Arabidopsis thaliana: one gene and its partner. The protein of the gene in region 1 purifies or fractionates together with the protein of each later gene. This does not show direct contact. Each region holds a gene or a part of one and is shown in the gene's direction. Other genes may lie near its edges.

Evidence for each region. The genes of interacting proteins can lie anywhere in the genome.
Region 2: the proteins of AT1G79210 (region 1) and AT5G26360 fractionate together in Arabidopsis thaliana (co-fractionation; one large-scale study listed by BioGRID). This does not show direct contact.

Annotation. Positions count from the first base shown.
Region 1 is NC_003070.9:29,794,344-29,801,428, reverse strand, and holds AT1G79210 (N-terminal nucleophile aminohydrolases (Ntn hydrolases) superfamily protein), read left to right. Parts: upstream 1-2,592; 5' UTR 2,593-2,773; intron 2,774-3,111; exon of another isoform or gene 3,112-3,168; 5' UTR 3,169-3,188; coding exon 3,189-3,229; intron 3,230-3,323; coding exon 3,324-3,400; intron 3,401-3,487; coding exon 3,488-3,552; intron 3,553-3,680; coding exon 3,681-3,727; intron 3,728-3,924; coding exon 3,925-4,000; intron 4,001-4,167; coding exon 4,168-4,235; intron 4,236-4,464; coding exon 4,465-4,534; intron 4,535-4,633; coding exon 4,634-4,719; intron 4,720-4,795; coding exon 4,796-4,858; intron 4,859-4,944; coding exon 4,945-5,010; intron 5,011-5,094; coding exon 5,095-5,143; 3' UTR 5,144-5,348; downstream 5,349-7,085. Other genes in the region: MST1 (mercaptopyruvate sulfurtransferase 1), read right to left, coding at 1-140, 504-605; AT1G79220 (Mitochondrial transcription termination factor family protein), read right to left, coding at 1,003-2,202; SCI1 (splicing regulatory glutamine/lysine-rich-like protein), read right to left, coding at 5,718-5,954, 6,196-6,254, 6,670-6,780, 6,953-7,025. UniProt on the Arabidopsis thaliana protein: The proteasome is a multicatalytic proteinase complex which is characterized by its ability to cleave peptides with Arg, Phe, Tyr, Leu, and Glu adjacent to the leaving group at neutral or slightly basic pH.
Region 2 is NC_003076.8:9,253,335-9,261,457, reverse strand, and holds AT5G26360 (TCP-1/cpn60 chaperonin family protein), read left to right. Parts: upstream 1-2,429; 5' UTR 2,430-2,566; coding exon 2,567-2,591; intron 2,592-2,685; coding exon 2,686-2,747; intron 2,748-2,838; coding exon 2,839-2,911; intron 2,912-3,211; coding exon 3,212-3,279; intron 3,280-3,359; coding exon 3,360-3,429; intron 3,430-3,624; coding exon 3,625-3,693; intron 3,694-3,774; coding exon 3,775-3,846; intron 3,847-3,961; coding exon 3,962-4,035; intron 4,036-4,326; coding exon 4,327-4,989; intron 4,990-5,065; coding exon 5,066-5,191; intron 5,192-5,337; coding exon 5,338-5,442; intron 5,443-5,543; coding exon 5,544-5,618; intron 5,619-5,711; coding exon 5,712-5,897; 3' UTR 5,898-6,405; downstream 6,406-8,123. UniProt on the Arabidopsis thaliana protein: Molecular chaperone; assists the folding of proteins upon ATP hydrolysis. Known to play a role, in vitro, in the folding of actin and tubulin.

The DNA of each region.
Region 1 (7,085 bases):
ACAACAGGTTCACTGGTTGATACGGATGATGTGGAGTAACCGGCTTTTGTCTCAACTCCAGTAGAAGCCATAGCTCGACGAGCCCAAGTAGTTGATTTATAGGCTGTAGAAGCGGAGCCTAACTGAGAGTGGAGTGACCTCTTCAGCAATTACCAACACAAGAAGAGGAAGACCAACCAAAAAGTCAGAATCATATACAGAGAGGCGAAACTGAGCAATTCACATAAAACTTCACTACCTAATTTATGATTACAAAACTCATAAGTCCAATTTCAAACTTTGATAAGAAAAGCATCGATTGACATAGACCTCATCAACAATTAAGCAATTCTCTATAGTCTATTCAACATTTCAAAAGCTCGAAAACCCAGTAGAACCACTGTCAAATCATAGAAACAATCCAAACGCTCGAAATCAATCCAGACACTCTCAAACCCAGAAGCTAACGAGTGGTCAAACGAATGGCTAATTGAGAACAGATCGCGAATCAGATATCGACTTACACTGAGAAAGGTGGCTGGATTAAAGATCTTTTGCGGAAGAGAAGGAGTAATCAGTCGGTGACTAGCAGCCAAGAAAGTTCTGGAGAAAAGGGTCGAGGCCATATCCACCTCAAATATTCTCTCGATAAAATGCAACAGAGATGATGGGTTGAGTTAGAAAGACGCCAAAACTATTTGCTGTCAGATTGATTCTCTTCAAGTACTAAACCCAAAAAGGTTGCAACTTTGCAAACGTTTTTATCAATAAAGAGGATTTTGTCACTGCCGCCACGAACGGGTCTGGAAGAGAGACACGTCTAGGGCGTCTTTGGCGTTTCGTTTCACCAAACGTGCTTCTTCGCGTTTTGTGTTTTGATATTTTTCTATTCCGGTTTAACTAATCTGATCTAAACCAAAACATGAACCGATTCAAAAGTATCCATTGATAAAGCTGGAAAATTCTACACAATGTTACATCTTTAATGAACATATCCAAAGAAACAAAAGATGAAAAAGAGATTCAAAAGGGGAATCCTTTACGGATGTATTTCTTGGATTTCTCAGCTAAACGTTTCATGTTTTTGGATTTCTCGTAAAACTCCATCAGCTCGGTTGCAATATCTTGTGGATGACACATTACATAAACCTTCAAGAACCGTTTCTCGCTCATCCTTACCGCTCTGAAAATGCTCACTTCTTTTATCAATGGCTTTAGACGCATTTCCAAGACTCTCTTAACGAGATCCGCACGAGGTTTTAGACGAGACTCGAGGTTGAGGAGAAGCAAACAAGGGTGCTTAACCACGGAATGAGCTGGAAGTTTCATCGAGGCTATGACGAAAGTCATGTTTCTCTGAACTTTCTCAACAGAGAGAGAGAGAAGGATTGGGCATTTTCCATACAGGTGCCAAATCTCTTCTTCCGAGAACCCAAACTTTTCCAAGTTTCTAACTTTCTCTTCGATTGTCTCCATCCTCGAGACCCCGATGATGACTGCAACATATTTAAACATCTTGGATTCTCTGGTGACTCCAGTTTTCTCAATGTATTCAAACTTCTCATTGTTAAAGTTTGTTCTTGGAATCAACGTGGGTCGCGATATCAACATTGCGACAAGATCCTGTTGGCTAAAGCCCAACCCTTTGTAGTATTCTATCGCGGGTTTGATCTTGTCATCGAGGTCATACAACATGAGTGACGGATTCCGGATAATGACTCTGCGCAACACCTCTTTTGACCCCAAAATCTCCATGAAGTAGTTGATCCTTTCATCAAGGACAAGACGGCAACTAAAGAACCTAGGACGACAGTTAAGAATCTTCACAAGGTCTGAAGACGTGATTCCCAGTGGCTTAAGAAGGCTTAACTTAAACTCTAACTGAGCAACATTGGCTCTCTGCAAAGCAGGCCTACGAGTAAAAAGCTTGGATATTTCATCATCATCACAACCCCATCTTCGTAAAACTTGTAAAGGACTACTAGTAATATCTCTCACTTTCTCTTTTTCACCAACTTCTCCAACATAATCAAATTTTTTTCTCCTAGACGATAGATCAGAATCCTCAATGCATTCTTCAGATTCATTCAGGCATAACGTCGAACACCTGGTGGTAAAGGTAGCAGAAATGAGATTTCTACAACCAGCCTTTCTGACCAAGCTCGAACTAGTAAACAATAATCTGATAACAGCTAAGAAATTTCTCTTCCCGGTCGAATGCATTTCAAGGGCGTAATCGAGAGTTTAACAAACTGGAGAAATAAAGGAGCAAATTTTCTCTAAGAATCAACAATGGCTCTGCCTCAACGACACAATCAGCGACATTTACACGCGTATTTCAGATGCTTCTTCCATCCAATTTTCCGAAATAGCTAGAAAAAATGGAACAATTACCAGTACACGAAGCTTGTGATGAACGAGCGAAGAAACAAACTCCGACCAACGGAGGAGAGTTTGTCAGAGAAGAAGGAGGCGATGGAGAGAGACACAGCCAATTCGGACCAGGTTTGAGTCCGAGTCGGGCGTGGAAGCGAGAGAGAGTAGGGGACTAGGGGTAGTAAATAAATAATGTGGTTCAAACTGAAAAGAGATATAAAATATTGGACTATTATGTAAGATACAGTAACTGTGAAGTTGTTAAAACGCCGCCGTTTTGGTTTTTTTGTTTCTCTCGTTTTCTGGCGTCAGACTCTCACCCTTTGTGCAAGAAACCTTGAGAGCTTAAAAATTCTTCACTTGGGTCTCTTCTCTCTCTCTTCTCTTGCGACCATTCCGTTCGATCCATATATCAAAGGTATGTTGCTTTGATTGAATGGGTTTCTTTTGTTGAATTTAAATTGATAACTTTAAATATATTGAATTTGGGGTTTAAGAAAAGTTTTCAATTTTCGTCTCTGAGTTTGAGCTAAGAGCTGATCTTTGAGTTTGAGTTTGTGTTTGATTTGATTCACTCACAATTCTTAATTAGGGTTGGTATATCTTGTCTTTTTCATCGTTTTCCTTACACATTGCCCATGGCGATGAGACTCTTCCGGGTTTTTAAGCTTTGTCAGATTTGAACGCTTCAGTCTACTTACTTGCTCAGACGTGGTTTCTTTTCATTTAAGTTTGAACATTGTTGATGAAGAACAGATTTAGCTTCCACGTTTCTAAATTTCCAGAGATGACACTATTTCGCATTTTTTGCAGCTTGATTTAGTTGGTTTTCAATGGGGGACAGTCAGTACTCGTTTTCTCTCACCACCTTCAGGTATTAACTTTGTTTATCATATCAATGTTATCTCTTTCTGAGCATTTGGAACGGTTTCTTCGGGGTTTGATTCATGTTGTGGTTTATGAAACAGCCCATCAGGGAAGCTGGTTCAGATAGAACATGCCCTAACAGCTGTTGGATCAGGCCAAACATCACTTGGAATTAAAGGTTTTTTCAATGATCTAATCAAATTCGAGAGGAGATTTTTAAGGAACATTGTCTTTGGTAATCATGACTGTTGTTTTCTTTATGCAGCTTCAAATGGAGTTGTCATTGCAACTGAAAAGAAACTTCCTTCTATATTGGTTGATGAAGCGTCTGTAAGTTTGATCAACTCTTTATAGCAATTAGTTCTTTTTCATTCTGTGCCTGCTCGTGTTACTTTCCTTTCGGTTGCATAGTTTCAGTAACTCCTACGAAACTAATGTTTATCTATTGTCTGTTTCAGGTTCAAAAGATTCAACATTTGACTCCCAACATTGGAACTGTTTACAGGTTCTTCTCTTCAGCTATCCATACTTCTTTTTTAATAGCGAATTTGGTTTTATAGCTTGCAAATTGGATTTATCATACATTTTTTATTTTGTTTTGGGTACTTAGTCTCTCTCATCAGGTGCTAGTGCTACTGATGGAACCTTTCCCTTAGTACCCTAATGATTTCAGTGCTAACTTTGGTATTGCCTTTTATGTAGTGGTATGGGTCCTGATTTCCGAGTTCTTGTGCGAAAGAGTAGGAAGCAGGCTGAGCAATATCTCCGTCTGTACAAGGTAATCTTTAATATCTTCTGTTTTTTTGTCTTCTTTTCCTGGAGTGTCTAGTAGTACATGTATGATAAAAACTTTGGATTGATGATTCCAGTTGATATAAGTTCTTGCTTATTCATAAATCCAGATCGCTCTGTTGATTCAACTTCTAAGGGCGTTTATTGTTGCAGGAACCCATCCCCGTTACTCAACTTGTAAGGGAAACTGCCACGGTGATGCAAGAGTTCACTCAATCGGGGTAAGTACTATATCGAGTGTTATGTAATTACTTCCTCTCATATGCTCAACAGGGTTCAAAAGTGTTATTGGCTCAGAGATTGCAACTCTAGAGCGAGTCTCTCTATGCACTTTTTAGCTCAGTTTTGATATTGATTTGGCGTGAGATAATGTTGTTAATGCAAATCTGTATTTGCAAACTAGACTACTGAATCTTGCTTCTAATCTCTGTCTCCTTCTGCTGTTAATAGTGGTGTTAGGCCGTTTGGAGTTTCTCTACTGGTGGCTGGGTATGATGACAAGGGTCCACAACTGTATCAAGTAAGTAGAACTTTAAAGAAAATATAACCATCCTGCTCAAAGTGAAGTAAAACCCGTAAACTGAAAACATCTTATTTCATAATTTTCATTGGCCACTAGGTGGATCCATCTGGCTCTTATTTCTCATGGAAAGCTTCTGCAATGGGAAAGAATGTTTCGAATGCAAAGACGTTTCTTGAGAAGAGGTGATAATAATTTACCATTTGTGGTGATGAGTTTATGATCTTGGAAGCATGTCATTTCATCTTAGTCTTTGATCAGGTACACAGAAGATATGGAACTTGATGATGCCATTCACACGGCAATATTGACATTGAAGGAAGGGTGAGCATTTTTACCAAAACTTAATTTACTTTATTTCCAGAGTTCAGAATTTCTCAAAAGCCTATAACCTCCGTGTCTTTTCACAGTTTCGAGGGAGAAATCTCAAGCAAAAACATCGAGATTGGCAAAATCGGTACTGACAAAGTTTTCAGGTAAACATTCAAGACTACAAAACTAATATAAACAAAAAATCTTGTTATTCCCATCAATATCTGAAAAGTGAATGTTATATGCAGGGTGCTAACACCAGCAGAAATCGATGATTACTTGGCTGAAGTCGAGTAAAACTTTCACTTAACCGTGCAACCAACCTGATTTGAATCTCAGTATACTCTCAGAGTTGATGGTTCTTGCTTTTGTAAAACTTTTGGAATTTGTTAAGGAGACTCGTGACCCAATAATTTAGAATATGTTTTTTCACTCATTTAAACGTCTGTTGTGAAAATTCAGTTTCATATAACCAAGTTTCATGCACACAAATTACTTAGCCAAAGCTACATATACGCTGTGTTGTAAATGCCAGTAGGAACTTACATACTGTACAAGACCAACTTTCAATCAAAACGGTCTATTTCTCCCTTAACCGGATATCAAATTCTCAATGTTACATAAGGATTCATCAGATAGTTCTTCGGCAACTTTGGTTAAGACCTTGGATATGTAAAGTTTGTCTTACTCTGAAAACCGACTACATATCTCTCCACGACAATCTATCTAACTAGTTCAGCAACAAGAAGTTCTAAGTAGAGAAACTACATAGAAATATATCTCTGATGCAATCAACCTTCACGTGTACAAGAAGCAAGAAGAGAGGTAACCGGCGAACCACAGAAGAGGAAGGTATTGCTTTTGCTTTTTTTCACCTACGCTTGATCATCCAGTCGTGAGCTGTTCGTGGGGCAGTGGAGATTCCCTCGTAGTATCGAGACTCGAGTTTTCCTCTGTTCCATCTCTTGACAAATCGTGAGAACAGTCCTCGTGCAGCTTCGGTCGTGAGATCATTAAAGTAAGTACGTTTTTCTTCTTTCAGCCATGTAGCAAACTCGTTGTTTTTCGAGAAGTAGTCTTCCATTGATAGCTCTGGAATTCCCTCTTTCTGGAAGAAAAAACGGAAAAGAAAAGCATTTTAATCAGAACCTCAGTGTGGATGACAATCCGTCAAACATTACAATAGGGCAACAAGACTTTTGTAATTAAACCATGACTAAACAACTGAAGAGACCAGCGAAGAACCACACATACAAAGTCTCCAAAGCAATATACTTTTGACTTTTTAAGTGAATATACAAATAGATGTTTTTATGGGTAACTATTTCAAAGGGTAAGTTAGAGCTCACTAGCTTGTGGTCGCTTTCCGTATGTTTCTTTTTCGGCTTATCATCCTTGGACTTCTTTGCTGTAAGAGAAAAAAAAATGTCAGCAGCAAGAAAAACAGATCATACTGAAAAGCAAAGACACATGATATAAGTCATGCTGATGAAAGATAAACATAGCTGCTTTAGCTGTAACCAAAACAAGATATTTCTTGCTGCCTATAATCCCTCAAACCAACAGGTTCCGACTACAACCTCTTCCTTCTCTAGGAGAATATAGGTAAGACAAAGCTAAATTGATGCTCCGTTAATGGCATACAAGAACAAGAAAACTCCAGCTCACATGGGTATAACTATAAACACACCACTCTCTAGATGAAGAAGCAAACACATCAAATTTATCATACGACAAACTTAACTTGACTCAACATATAATCAAGGTTCTAAAACGGATGGAACAATATTTACTAACTCAAAACATGAGAAACAGTATCTTACATGTACTGGATTTGTGGTGCTTGTGAGATTTCTTATCCTTCTTATCACTTCTCCTACTTCTCCTTTCATCATCTTTCTCTGTTCCTCGATGCCTCTTAACTTTCTCTTCGTCTGTCAATTCATAAATCACTATGTATCAGATTATGTCATTCACAACAATAAGTCACACTCTCAACGCCAACTACAAAATCTAATCGAAAACACAGATAGATAAATTGATGGCATTTCTCGGGAATCGGAAGAAAAAGTATATACATAGAGGAGAAGAAGAAGAAGAACATACAATCGGAAGATGAAGAATCTTCGCTCCGAGCTCTGCTTCTCTTCTTCTCCTTGGAGCTCCGTTCGCTTACCATTATTTCCCGACGGACTAAAATAAAAGAACGGAGGAGCTGACATATATTTATTTGGACCCC
Region 2 (8,123 bases), on another chromosome or scaffold:
CATAAAATATCTTCTAAATATGATTTTTATTGATTATTTAATATTTTTGAAAGAATAAATAAAAATATTTAACTCTTCTTCAATCTTAAACCATTCTTTTCGTAAAAAATACGTAAAGATAGATCAATCATAAATGTCCTAGGAATAAGATACGTATTAGGTAATGTTTTTCTTTTGAAATTAAAATAAAAGTATTTATATATATATTTTTGATGCACTTTTTGATCAAAAATCTCTCTAATATTTACTAATAACATATGAGTTTTTATAAATTCTATCTCAACCAAAATGTTATATTCTTAAAAATTTACAAATCGTTAATTTGCATTAAATACTTGAATTAACTATTTTCTTTATTTCTTTTTTAGTCCCTACAAAATTTATCTAAAAATATTTTATTTTAAATTTAAATCTTTAATTAATTTTTATATTTATTAAATTACATTCAATTAATTGCTAATTTCCTAAAATCTATATATCTACATTAATAATAAATATATGATTTTTCTTTCATTTTTATTTGTTCTTATATCTAATTTATTTTTATTTGATATATATAATACATATAGTTAAAAATATATTAGTTTTTTCTGCATATGAGGTAATTCAAAATTTTAAAAACACACATATACTACTCAATCGATGAAGAAAAAAAATAAGTAGAAAAAATCCCACATTACTTTAAAAAATTGAGTAATAGTTCAGAGTCATACATGGCTTTCAAAGCAAAAACTATAGCCTACATAACAAGGTTCAACACAACCTGATTACAAAGAATTCTATAAAACAAAGATGGGCCTATTTCTTTGATCACACTGTGTCTTAGTAAAAACTAAGAGTCTCAAAGTCTGTAATCTGAAAAATCAAAGGAAGAAAAATTCAGGGAAACGAAACAAACACAAATGAGAAATCAAATAAATTAGCGAACCAAATTACAAAAACCTAAAACAGGAGGGAAAGCACTTACTCTTGTTATAAGAAGTAGACTTGACAAAAATAATCTTAAAAGGAAAAGATGATAACACTGAAGAGTTTGGAACAACTTTCTGACGGGAGATGGATTAGGTCGAGGGAGATTATACTATTAACAGAGGAAAAAAACCAAAAAAAACTCCATTTATTTTTAATTTGTTCATACCTGCGTTATTTAATTTGGCCGTTTAATACCTAAGTTAATTTTTATGTTCATTAAAAACCTTCATTTTTTTAAATTTTGGCAAAATCAGACATGCGAGTTAACGGGCGTTAACAATGGTAACGGAATCGCTAACCGCAGTTAAAACTTAACCATATAATGTTTACTATTTATATACAATTTGTTTTCTAATAGTTATGATCATATTATCTTAGTCCCAGTGGTTTTGAGAGAGATTATCATCCTCATCAGTTCGAGATCGATTCTCATCTCCAACAAATTTTTTGATTTTTTTTTTTAACAAAAGGCAAAATCTCAGTAATCCGAGTTACGATTTTGAATTTGATTCTGAGACTTTCTTTTGTTTAGCACCACGTTTGTTAGATCTGCTTCAATTCGATTTTGAGAACGAGCTAAATTAGATTCCTTCATCTCTTCAATTCATATTAAGGTTTTCAATTTCTAGATCGATTGATATGAATAAGTCAGCAAAGATTGCATATTCCCAGTTTTTGCTGATATTTTGCGTTGAAAAATCCAGACTTTGTTTTTCATTGTTAGTAACGTTGATAGCTTATAGAAAGATTATGTTACCATTAATTGCATCTGTTGATAACAAATAAGATCGATTATCACAAATCTATGTTGTATTAATTGGTCTAACATTTGGGACTTTTGGTTGGTGATTGATTTTGGTGCAATATCCTTTGGAGAAAGAAGTGAAGCAACACACAAGTGCAAAGCCTGTTGAAGTGAAAGAGATGGCTGACTTCGATTTTGCCTTTTTGTTAAAAAAAAAAGAAAAAAAATCAAAAAAAATTTTGGAGATGATAATCGATTTTGAATCGATGATGATGGTAATCTCTCTCATAACCACTCGACTAAAATAATATGTTCATAATTATTAGAAAACAAATTGTATATAAATAGTAAACATTATATGGTTAAGTTTTAACTACAGTTAGCGATTTCGTTACCACTGTTAACGCCCGTTAACTCGGATGTCTGATTTTGCTAAAATTAAAAAAAAAAAAAAGGTTTTCAATAAACATAAAAATTAACTTAAATATTAAACAGGTAAATTAAATAACGCATGTATTAAACGGACAAATTAAAAATAAATGAAGTATTTTTTGTATTTTTTCCCTCTTAACAAATTAGGTTAACAATTCTCCCGTTCTCACGCATCTTTACCTAATCTTCCGGATATAAAAATACTATTACTTTGTTTTGATCTTACAAAAAGGCCCAATGTGTGAAATATTAGTTAATGGGCCTTAGGGATGGGCTTCTCAACCTAAAATGAAAAGCACGAGAGAGGATGAAAGAAATCGGAGAAGGCAGTAGGATCTTCCACTTGCCGCTCTTTGAAAATCACTCGCCGTGTCTCTCTAAGCTTCTTCTTCACTGTGAAAACCTCAGATCGCAAATATGCACGCACCGGTACTCGTTCTGAGTGAGTATCTCCATCTTCCTCCAGATCTCATTTCCTCTAAATCGATATTAGTTTTTTGGTAACGAGATTAACTCCTTTTGTGAAAATGGTTTAGGCGATTCGTTGAAGCGTGAATCTGGAAGTAAGGTTCATCATGGTAATATCCAAGCTTCCAAGGTAAATTAATCCTTTTCTATGGCTCTTTTTCTCTGTGATGCTTGTTGCTTCTCTCCTCTGGTTTCAGATCATCGTTGTTTTTGTGGTACAGGCTGTTGCTGATATCATTCGTACAACATTGGGTCCTCGTTCTATGTTGAAGATGCTTCTTGATGCTGGTGGAGGTCTTTTTCTAAACACTTCCTCTTTTTTTTAGGCTTTTCATATCTCTGTATGTGGGTAGTAGATCTCTGTAGTGAGGGAATTAGGTTTAGTGTTTTTAGCTTTGGAAATGTTTTTCTTATGTACTCGTTCTTTGTTGAAGCTATTGTTCTTCAGTTTCGGTGTTAGTTTTATATAAACCCTAAATCAATATTTGGGTTCTGTTTGTCTTGTTTTTTTTTTTTTTCTGTCTACCTTTAATTTTTCTTAATCTGTGTGTTATCATCATATCTTACCCCTCTTTGTTTCTTGGATCTTTACAGGGATTGTTGTTACTAATGATGGGAATGCTATTCTTCGTGAGCTAGATGTCGCTCATCCTGCAGCTAAGGTTTTACTTCTGACCTTTCTCTATCTATTGTTCTTGTTAAAATTGTTTTACTTATCCATTTTTGACTCTGGTGATTGCAGTCAATGATTGAGTTGAGCCGTACGCAAGATGAAGAAGTTGGTGATGGGACAACGTCTGTTATTGTTCTAGGTACGAACATTCTTTTTTGCTAACAAATAGTTTGTCAATGGCTTGGTTTGGACCAGTTTTAATGTATTTTTAACTAAAGCACAAACAAATTACTTAAGGATATTATGGGTGCTGCAGTATTCAGTTCAACATCATGATCTCTGTTTATAATCATGGGTTCTTGAAGTCCTCTTTTTGTTTGCTTTTTGCCAACAGCTGGTGAAATGCTTCACGTTGCAGAAGCGTTTCTTGAGAAGAATTACCATCCCACAGTCATATGCCGAGGTATGCTGGCACTATGAATTGCTTATTGTTGTCATGTTACACATGTCGTTTTCATCTTAACGAATGCATTCTTCTCTGCAGCTTACATCAAGGCTCTCGAAGATTCTATTGCTGTTCTTGACAAAATTGCTATGTCAATTGATATCAATGACCGTAAGTCCATTTCTACCTTGTATTTGTTCATTTGGAGTTGACCTTCAGCTACTTTGGTTTCTGAAGTTAGTTTTTCTTTCACGTTTGTACTGATGGAAGAATGTGTGAGTTGCAGGTTCACAAGTGCTAGGATTAGTCAAGAGCTGCATAGGGACAAAGTTCACTAGCCAATTTGGAGATCTTATTGCGGTAAGTACCGTAATTACAGTAGCTTCTTACTTATGCATTACCAGTCCAGGTTTTATTGCTCCTTAATATATATTGGATATGTCTAGACAAGTAGGTATAGATACAGCATACATCTTGAAGTGACTTTTTAAATGTAAGATGAGTAACCATGAAATAACTTGAATTTGATGACTGCTTTCTTCAATTCTTTTGGTGGTTTTCGATTGTTGAAATACTTGTAGTATGAAGTTCTACAAGTTTGATTGTCGTTGGTACTCACATGATTTTATATGACTTTATGTACTGTTTTAGGATTTGGCTATTGATGCCACTACTACTGTTGGTGTTGATCTTGGACAAGGTTTGAGGGAGGTAGACATTAAAAAGTACATCAAGGTTGAGAAAGTTCCTGGTGGTCAGTTCGAGGACTCTGAGGTTCTTAAAGGAGTTATGTTTAACAAAGATGTTGTTGCTCCTGGTAAAATGAAAAGAAAGATTGTCAACCCACGGATTATTCTTCTTGACTGTCCTCTTGAGTACAAGAAAGGTGAAAATCAAACCAATGCTGAGTTGGTTAGAGAAGAGGACTGGGAAGTGTTGTTGAAGTTGGAAGAGGAATATATCGAGAACATTTGCGTTCAAATACTAAAGTTCAAGCCTGATTTGGTTATCACAGAGAAGGGTCTTAGTGACTTGGCCTGTCACTATTTCAGTAAAGCTGGGGTAAGTGCAATCCGAAGGTTGAGAAAAACTGACAACAACAGAATCGCCAAGGCTTGTGGAGCAGTAATTGTGAACAGGCCCGACGAACTGCAGGAGTCTGATATCGGTACTGGGGCTGGCTTGTTTGAGGTCAAGAAAATTGGAGATGATTTCTTTTCTTTCATTGTTGATTGCAAAGAACCCAAAGCCTGTACTGTACTCTTAAGGGGACCAAGTAAAGATTTCATCAATGAAGTGGAAAGAAATTTACAGGTTCGTTGGTGTTATTTACAAATCTGTATTTCTTAATCATTCATAACCTTATATGCCTGAAACATTGTCCCTACAGGATGCCATGTCTGTTGCAAGAAACATTATCAAAAACCCAAAGCTAGTTCCTGGTGGAGGAGCCACAGAGCTAACCGTTTCTGCCACATTAAAACAGAAGAGTGCAACAATTGAAGGCATAGAAAAGGTCGGTTTTGCTTTTATTACATTTTGTTTCCTTGCCTAAAGTTGTGTGATTTTGTGTCAAATCTATATCGAGCCTCTAAAACGAGTATGCTGTTCCCACGGTCGCTGATAAATGTTCTTTTGTTGGTCTGAATCTTATTTAAACAGTGGCCTTATGAAGCAGCTGCCATTGCTTTCGAGGCTATTCCACGTACCCTGGCTCAAAACTGTGGGGTTAACGTGATCCGTACTATGACTGCATTGCAAGGGAAGGTACTGTCCTGTACTAATGAACCCCAACTGCCATCTCTTGCCCGTTGTTTAAGTATATACCAACTCTTTTCTCAATGCTTCAATTGTCGGTTTTGGTGCAGCATGCAAATGGTGAAAACGCATGGACTGGTATTGACGGGAACACTGGTGCAATAGCTGATATGAAAGAGAGCAAGGTAAGGATTAAATCACATAACCTTGGTTGATTCTCACAACATGAAACCAATGTGACTCAGAGAGTTGACTAAAAGCTTTTAACAATTTTCCAGATATGGGATTCGTACAATGTGAAGGCGCAAACTTTCAAGACGGCTATAGAAGCAGCGTGTATGCTTCTAAGGATCGATGATATAGTGAGTGGAATCAAGAAGAAGCAAGCTCCTGGATCTGGACCTTCAAAGCCTACCATTGAGACAGAAGGAGATGCAGACAACGAACAAATTCTTCCCGACTAAGCGAAGGGAGAAACACTTTGGTCTCAGCATAACTCAATCTCTGTTTTCACTTGTTTAATGGTTGCACTCTTTTGGCTATTATCTTCCCTTGACATATCTTTTAATTCTGCAGTTTGACTTGGTGAGATAAGATTTTCGAGGGTGGTTTTTTTTTGTTTGTTTTGGAATATTAGCTTTTTTGAATTTTCGTAGTCACTTTGTTGGTTTTTAGAGTGCTAGTTGTTATTGTCTTTTTGAAATTTCTGGCACTAGAGACTTTTTTAGTTTGTGTCGTTTTTGTTTGAATATCATCAAGTATGTACTTCAACTGGATCTTTAGTTGACCGGTTAGTGTCAAATTGTGTTTTTGTTTGAACACCATTAATTGCATTTCAGACGTACGGATCTGTTATTTAGAGTTTTGGGTTATTATTCAGGTTGACTCGGTCCGAATTTATTTATACGGGTTGGTTTTGTTACTGAAAACCTTTAAACTTCGCTAGTTAAATGAAAATTGAAAGTTTAGTTATGTTGATCTTGATCTAATTTTACAGTAAACTAGAGGAAATACGGGCTACGCCCAAATTTATTTTAAAATTTTATTTCTGTTTTTTGTATTGTTTTTAGTTCATATATTTTTTTTTAAATTTGCTATATCTAAATAGAAAATTAGTTTGAATTACTTATATTTTTATATACTATCTATTTGTGTTATTTAAAATGAAACTGAATCACCTTTTATTTTTATTTTATTTTATTAAAGATGATTGTAATATAAATAGTTTTTCTTAACTCAAAATAAATGGGTTTGTTTTCACAAGACTTTTTTATTTTTTCATTTCTTTGAGGTTTTGTTTTGAATAATTATTGGATTTTCTTTTGTTGGGTTTAGTTCATTAGTTGGAATTATGTATAGTAAACGTATTAAACTCAATGGGTGGATAATTTGTAAAATTTATTTGTAAAAGCTAATTTTGTATTATTAGATTGGTAGCATATTGTTCAATTCTGCATATATACTAATCATTTATTAAATAAAAAAAGTTAATAGTTCTTATTATGTATAAAGATTCGTTAATATTTTCAAAATTAGTTATTTGTAATTAACGTAAATTTGATTTTTTGATTTTTTAATTAAAATAATGAATTACATTACCTTCTTTTTTGTCAACTAATAATTTATATTACCTAAATTTTATAAAAACTGTCATTGAAAAATTGGACTTTGTGATCTCAGAAATAAATTATAAAAATATTAAGTTTCTTTTATTTAGTTTTGTTAGTTTAAACCATTTTAATTGAAATCCAAGAAAAAAATAATATTTTATTTTAAGCATTTAATTTGCTTTTGTTTTTGAAGTAAAAAAATCAACACTTATTTTTTCTAGTAATATTTATTAAAACATTATTTATTTTTTGTTTTCTAAATTTTTTTTTAATAATTTGGTGACATTGCATTTAGAGAGAGTATTTAAAAGAAAATATGATGTGGCATCTCTAAAATGATTTTTGGAATGATGATGAGGATGACTTGAGAAGCCTCAAATTGTTTCTTTTATTAGCAGTAGATAATACTATTTTAATCATATACTATCGTTTTCTTATACATTTTATATGGGAAAAAACTCTAAAAAAACCTCATATATTTTTAATTTGCCCGTTTAATACTTCGGTTATTTAATTTGTCCGAACAATACCTAGGTTTATTTCTTTTCGCTTTAAAATCTTTCGTTTAGTTTTTGTTTGGAAAAATCAGCTTCTCGGGTTAACGACTGTTAACTTCGTTAACGGTGTGTCTAACTGAGGTTAATACTTAACCCCACGTGTTTTATTCGCCCAATATAAAGACACTGTTACCCTTAACGAAAACCCCCAAATCGATTTGTTATTATAAACCCTAGTTCTATTAGCTCTTCTTTACAAGAACTCTTCTTATTTCCAAAAATGATGAGCCAAAGTTCAGGGTCTGATGCGAATTCAATTAGCCGTAGCTGAGTCCTCTTTGCAATTGTGGTAGGGCAACGACAGTTACAAAGTCATGGACAAATGAAAATCCGGGTAGAAAATTTTTCAGATGTGGGACTCATGGCTTCATCAATTGGGCAGATGAGGAGAAGCCATTTGGTTGGCAAAAAGAGAGTTTATTGGAGGCTCGAGATGAGATTCGTCAACTGAAAGAGTCTTTGAGGTCAATGAAAGAATAGTTACCGAGTGGGTCAGGGTCTGCTACTAACGAGGATATGAAGA